Mus musculus: one gene and its partner. The protein of the gene in region 2 interacts with the protein of the main gene of each other region in a pairwise test. Links are inferred from orthologs where the notes say so. Each region holds a gene or a part of one and is shown on either strand. Other genes may lie near its edges.

Region 1 (3,647 bases), on a different chromosome or scaffold from region 2:
TTCTTGACCAAAGAAGCCAAACGGTAATTATCATCAGTGAGGAGAGGGAGTGGCAAGGAGCACACAGTGGGTGGCCTCTTCTCAGGTGCTCACCCACATCTGCTTCATGCTCTAGTGTGGAGTGACATGCCAGGGAGATTTGCAATTTGTGGGTTTTGTTCTCTTTTGAAAGACGTATTTGTTTTTTTTTATGTACGTGAGTACACTGTCAGTCTCTTCAGACACACCAGAAGAGGGCATCAGATCTCATTACAAATGGTTGTGAGCCACCATGTGGCTGCTGGGAATTGAACTCAGGATCTCTGGAAGAGCAAACAGTGTTCTTAACTGCTGAGCCATCTCTACAGCCCTTGTTTTGTTTGGTTTTTGTTTTCTCGCTATGTAGACCCGGATGGACTGAAACTCACTCTGCAGACCAGGCTGCCTCACACTCAGCCCAACTGTGCCTCAAATAACATGTTTAAAGGCATGCACCACCATGCCTGGCCTCACGTCTTTATAAAAATTGCAAAACAAAGGTAAACAGGCTTAAGCCCAAGAGGCCTGGGGCCAGCCGCACTCACCCTGGCTTGTGCACGATGTCTCTCAGCACTCGTACAGCATCGTCGTTGCTCATGTTCTCAAAGTTCATATCATTTACCTGAAGGGAAGGGGTGGTGGGTCATGGGCAGTGTGGGAGGGGCAGAGCATCCGCCCCAGCCAGCAGCCAGGCCGTCAGCGCACCTGCAAAAGCATGTCTCCAGGCTCGATCCGCCCGTCCGCAGCCACCGCGCCCCCTTTCATGATGGAGCCGATGTAGATGCCCCCATCACCACGCTCGTTACTTTGGCCCACAATGGAGATGCCCAGGAAGTTGTACTTCTCTGTGGAGGGGGGCCATATGACTGAGCCCCAGAAACCCCAAGCCCCTCTCTCTCCTTCCCTTCTCCCCGTCAGGACCCTCCATACCCATGTTGAGCGTGACCGTGATGATGTTGAGAGACATTGTGGAATCGGTGACACTGCTGAAGGATGAGGTCTACAGCGGGGAGACATGAAAGGTGTGAACTGCTCCCCGTCAACAGAGAGAGAAGCCACAAGCTTGTGTTTCAACCAGAGCCCACTTCATCCCAAAAGAACCCTCACCCTCTCCATGCGTGGCGGCCGCTGCTTCCTTCGCCTTCGGTGGCGCTTGAGGAGGCGGGAGGCACTGCTCTGCTCAGTGGAGCTGCTGAACCTGATAGCAATTGAGAAGCATAGCATTTGGAGGTGGAAGTGGTCAGGGAGCCACATGAAACAAGAAGACTGGCTGGGGGGGAGGGGGAGGGGAGGAGGGGGGAGGAGGGAGGGAACAGGGAGGGAAGTGTGCAGCCATACCTACTCATGGTGTCATCCTCATCCGAGTCTCCTAGGCTGGTACTCTCCAGCTCACTGGTCATGAGGGTGGAAGAGCTCTCGTAGCCAGCCAGGTGGCGCTCCAGCCTCGAGGGGCCACCAGGCCTGTGGCCACCAGCTGTGTATAAACAAGAGACTCAGGAGCCAGGCCTCCCCTTCTTCATACCCAGCATGCTAAGGCTTGCCTGTCTGCCCAGCTCAGTCTACCCTGCCTCCAGGGTCCATCCCCTCACCGCCATGTTCACTGCTGTCTCTCCTCCTAGGTCGGTCTCGCCTCAGTGATACGACAGATTCGGTCTCTGTCTCAGGCTCTAGATTTTCATGGCTGCTGGATACATTAGGGCTACACAGGTAGAGAGAGTTTCCAACCAAAGTCAGTCGGACAGAGCACCGGAACCTCAGTCCCCCTCTCTCAAGAGGTCTAGACTGAATTCCCTCTTCGCTCCCATCCCCTGGACTCAAGAATATAAAGGACTCACTGGAAGGATGGAGGCCTTGAGTCCCCAATTCCACTGGTCCTTTCTGGTGGCAAAGGGGGTAAGGGTGGAGGCGGAGGAACCAGTTCTGTCCGAGACTCATGGGCTGGGGGAGCCACCTCAGGCTGTGGGGTATCTGACGACACAAGCTAGAAGAGAGCACGTAAGAAAACATGGTTCTGCTGGGGAGCGGTGTACGAGAAGAAACTAAGGAAAAGGACCAGAAAAGAAGGACACAGGGTCCTGGAGACCTGGGTGAAGAGGCCAGAAAAAACAATCCAGTACGGGAGGCTATAGGAAGAGGAGGCCGAGGAGTGCTCACTGTATCCACATTAGAGAAGAGGGAAGCCAGGCCACCCGCGACTGAGCAGGGGGGAGGCTGCAGAGACAGACTGAGGTTGGAAGCAGCTCAGTAATGAGTCCCCTTACCCAGGAGACAACCCTTCCATTGAAGCAAGGTAGGCGGGCATTGTCATCGGAGATCTCTTCCTTCACCACCCTGCGGAGAGAGCAGAGTGATTAGTAAGGTGCCAGGTGTGATGGGGTACACCTTCAACTAACACTTGGGAGGCCGAGGCAAGAGGCACTCAGTGAGCAAGGGTTTCTCTTGCGCGCACACACACACACACCACACACACACACACACCCTAGATGGGCGGTGGTGGTGCATGCCTTTAATGCCAGCACTCTGGAAAGCAGAGGCAGGTGATCTGAGTTTGAGGCCAGCCTAGTTTACAGAGAGAACCAGGACAGCCAGGGCTCCACAGAGAAACCCCATCTGGGGGTGGGGGTGGGACAAACACGGGGATGGGGGAGATTAGTAAAGCTAAACTAGTCACTCCCATTCCAAATCTCATTCCAAGTCTCTCCCCATCTCCATCCTGCCCAAGCATGGTGACTTGCTGCCCTGACTGACACGTCGTCTGCTTTTCCCCTAATGTATATGTACATGTCTGTGTGCATGGCTGTCACATGAGGGTATTTGCAGAGGACAGGAGAATATTATCTCCCCTGGAGCTAGTTACAGGGAGTCAGGAGCCACCAGTGGGTGCTAGTGCTAAGAACAGAACACAGCGGCATCCTCTAAGCCAACTGTCTATAGACTTCTGCCCTTTTTTTTTTCAGCAGCGGTAGCGACGACCAGGCTGGCTTCAAACTCACAGAGAGCTGCCTAACTCTGCCTCTCCATCCTGGTATTAAAGGCATATGTCACCAAACTTGGCTATGCCACTCAGCCAGCATGCATCACCATGCCCAGCTCCTCTGCTTTCACAGTGAAGTAACTTGCTTTTATACACAAATAAATAAATAAAAATTCTAGACTCTCTCATTTACCACTACCCCAACTCATCCTTAGAGGCACAATGCCACTCCAAAGACTTCTTCCCATTTGATCCAAACCTCAAAGTACCACTCCAAAGTCCCTTTGGGACAGTTCCCACAACTGCTCCAAATATCTAATTTAAGAGCCTGGCTGGCCGCCTAACCATCTCTGTCCTACACATCTGTCCCATAAAAGCCTCTGGTCCTCACGGAACCTGCTGCCTTTGAGTTCTCTCTAATTCACAAGCAGAGCCACCCAAATGTGTGGCTTTTCTGGGTAAAAAATCACCCTTACATGCAACAATAACAGTCCACGTGTGGAACGCTCCCATGGAGCGAGGAAGCTGGGCTTCCCAATTCCGGGCCACCTCACCTCACTAAGCAATCTGCTCGGTCTGAAAAATCCCAAAGCCCAGCCTCCCACAGGTTCCTGTAGTGGACTAGACCTGTTCCTTCCTTCTCATACCCACAAGA
Region 2 (3,083 bases):
TTCTCAGAGCACCTCCCAGCAGCCACACAGCTCTTGCGCAGTTGCTCCCACAGTCTCTGCTCTCCTCACACCTCATCATGGCTAATGCTATCACTAGGCAATTACCACAAAGACCAGCACAGTCCCCTCCACCCCAATGAGGCAGATACCCATTAATGAGGTGAACAAAGCAGGTGAACTGGATGGATTATCGTGGCAGCCAAAAACCAGAAATGAACCCCAAACCCACCCAAGCCAGGTCTGCCTGCTTTTCTCACTGACTGTATTCCTAAGGTGTTTCCATCTCACACACCCTACCTGCTTGTGAGTACTGGGACTGAAGAGCCACCTTAGGTTCTTACCCACTTGGTCAGAGAAGGGAAAAGGGAGAATGTTTTTCTCTTGGACTCTTGGACCCTAGACAGAGGCAGTGGCCTCATTTGGTACTCCCACTGCCCACCTGTCTACTCCCAGGACCTACACAGATCCCTGTGTCCCCAGAAATCCTGAAGCCAGCTGAGTCTCCACTGAGAGAATTGTGATGAAATCACTTTAATGTCCTAAGGAGACACCCCAAGACACTGGTAGGTGGGCTTGGTGGGCAGATAAGTGTTCAAAATCAGCCCTGATGTCCCACCTCTACTCAGCAGTGTTCACACTCTAGGCTGACAAGGCTAATTAAGGGGCATCCTAAGAAGGGGCTGGTTCCTCTTCCAGGTGCTGTTTAGGCATCAGGGTGACAGCTGTCTTTCTGCCAAGGCAGTTTGGAGCTGGGTCCCAGGGCTCTATCCACAATACAGGCAGGGCCGCTAGAACTCTGTCATCTTCCTGTGAGTGTCTGCCTTCCGCTGTTTCCTCTGTAGGTCAGCCTCCTGAGCACGCAGCTGACCCAGCTGCCGCTGGGCTCCCTCCAGCTTCTCCTGCAGATGGGCTGTCGTCATATTGTGCCTAGGGAGAGCCTGCTGGTCAGCATTGCCTCCTGGCTCCCCACTTCCAAGCCCTCAGCTGCTATAGCCAATGCCTGTCCTCTAATATCTAGACCACCTCAGACTCAGCTGCTACTCAGGTCAGGTAACCTTTAGCAGGTATCCTCTGGGCATAGCCACTGGAGCCCATACTGCCTCAGCTGGATCCCACACATACCGGCCAGTGTTCCGGGTTAGGGCCTCCTGGATGCCCCGGATGTCCCGTTGGGTCCGCTCAATCTTCTCCTCAGTCTGGAAGAGCTGCAGGCTCAAAGCCTGCTTGGCGCTCTTGCTGGCGTGATACATGTCTTTGTTCCTTCTCTCTGGGGTATCCACCCCAGCATCTGGGGTCCCAGGAACCTGGCTTTGCAGTTTTTCATTCAAAAAGTCAAACACATTCCGGGGGGGTGGGCGGCCCTCAGGTCTACTACCACTCCTCCGGCATTTTGGAGGCCTGTTGGACCCAGCCTGGCCTCGCTTTGTCTTCTTCTGCAGTATCTCTGCACACTGGTCCAGTGATTTCCCTCTAGGCAACACTACAGCATGGATGGGCTCCACCCGGCCTTCTGCATGCCGGCCCAAACCTGAGAAAGACAGAGGCTGTGCTACCTGCTAGACCTTGAGCTGTGTTAAGGACTCCCTCTCAACTCAGGGCAGCAGGCACTCACCCTTGCCAAACTCATAGCCCATCTTGACGAGGAGTTTGGAGCCAATGCCCCGTGTGTGTACCTCCCAGCCAGCAAAGGCAGAACTGCAGGTCCCAGTGTCCACCGTGCTTGGTTCCACCACTGCAGGAGACAGAGGATTCCAAGTTGTGGGCTCCAGCCAAGGTTACCCAAGAACTTAGTTCCTGTGTAGGGCCTGATCTCCTGGACTTGAGGTCCCCTCAAGTTCCCCAAGCATGCTGTGCACACTCCTGACAACTCTGTCTTTAGAGATGGCTGTATTGTAACCAATTTCCCTGCTTTAGCTTACTATCTGCCACCAATGACCAGAGCCCAGAAACCACCAATTCACATCACAGGTTCCCAGAAACATCTTCCTATCTTTATCCTAACCAACCCCTCAGGAAGACTATACGTTACCTACTAGTTCATTTCCTGAAACCTCTATCTCACCTGGATACATTTTCCGTTTGCCAAAATCTCTTCTGCCCTACCCACCAAGCATCCAAGCTCTAAATCTGGGAAGTCATCTGAAGAACCCACCCTTTCCTACATCTTACACTCAGTTACTTCCTGTGACTCCTTGGCAGATCTAGCAACAGCATTCTCGTCTCTCTACAGTGTGGTGCCACTTTGCTTCAGGGAATTCTGACTGTTGCATGCAATTGCTTTGTCTCTTTCTTAAAGGCCAGCCAGGCCAGCACACACGCTCGGGTCCCTCAGGTCCTCACCAACCTGCTCTATTCCCTCACCACTCTGGCTTCTAAGCACTCATTTTTGCCATACCTCTGGCATAGCTGGAGTCACTTGCATCACCAGTGTCTGAGTCAGATGACTCTGTAGCCTCAGTGCGCAGAGGAGGCAGGATGCTGTCCCCCTCCACTACAGCCTCCTTCAGCAGCAATGAGTCAAACTTAACGGTATAGTAGCCATTGTCCACATCTAGGGTGACAGAGACAGGCTGTAGGTCAGCAGTTTTTACAGGTTAGGCAACCAGTTAGGAGCAAAGTGGGAAACAGGAAGGGAAGGGGCTTGGGACAAAGGCAGACCTGCTCATCTTGGGCCAAGATGAAGTCCCAGAGCCCAACCCAGAGGAGGTGGAGAATGGCTGTATGAAGAACAAAGAGGGTGTTTTGAAAAGGGTCCCACCAAATAGGTCCTTGTTGGCAGTCTCACCAGTGATCCGTGCTGGGTGCCACAGGCCATCCTGGTGCTTGGCCAGACATGCAGAGCCAGTCTGCAGTAAGCTTAAGTCTGGATCCTGAAAGGGACGCAGCTCATCCACAGATACCACCTGCCCATGGGAGAACCTAGATACAAGCACAGAAGACAGAGGCTTAGACATGGCCCACCAGGAGCAAGTAAGACCAAGAGCACAAAGGCCATCGCCAGGACACTGCCTGTAATGGAATGATATTCAAGAAGTCAAGACAGGCACACCAGCAAAACACCTATACTTTCATGCCTATGCATT

Evidence for each region.
Region 1: the proteins of Zgpat (region 2) and Dvl2 interact in a two-hybrid assay, tested with the Homo sapiens proteins (2 studies listed by BioGRID and IntAct). The two-hybrid records come from large-scale screens. The link is inferred for Mus musculus from reciprocal best matches to the Homo sapiens genes ZGPAT and DVL2.

The regions. Positions count from the first base shown.
Region 1 is NC_000077.6:70,003,507-70,007,153, reverse strand, and holds part of Dvl2 (segment polarity protein dishevelled homolog DVL-2), read right to left. Parts: intron 2,350-3,647; coding exon 2,280-2,349; intron 2,000-2,279; coding exon 1,854-1,999; intron 1,718-1,853; coding exon 1,608-1,717; intron 1,493-1,607; coding exon 1,357-1,492; intron 1,217-1,356; coding exon 1,126-1,216; intron 1,019-1,125; coding exon 949-1,018; intron 864-948; coding exon 724-863; intron 641-723; coding exon 564-640; intron 1-563.
Region 2 is NC_000068.7:181,378,219-181,381,301, reverse strand, and holds the end of Zgpat (zinc finger CCCH-type with G patch domain-containing protein), read right to left. Parts: intron 2,920-3,083; coding exon 2,786-2,919; intron 2,552-2,785; coding exon 2,396-2,551; intron 1,733-2,395; coding exon 1,613-1,732; intron 1,529-1,612; coding exon 1,123-1,528; intron 928-1,122; coding exon 789-927; 3' UTR 509-788; downstream 1-508. UniProt on the Homo sapiens protein: Transcription repressor that specifically binds the 5'-GGAG[GA]A[GA]A-3' consensus sequence. Represses transcription by recruiting the chromatin multiprotein complex NuRD to target promoters.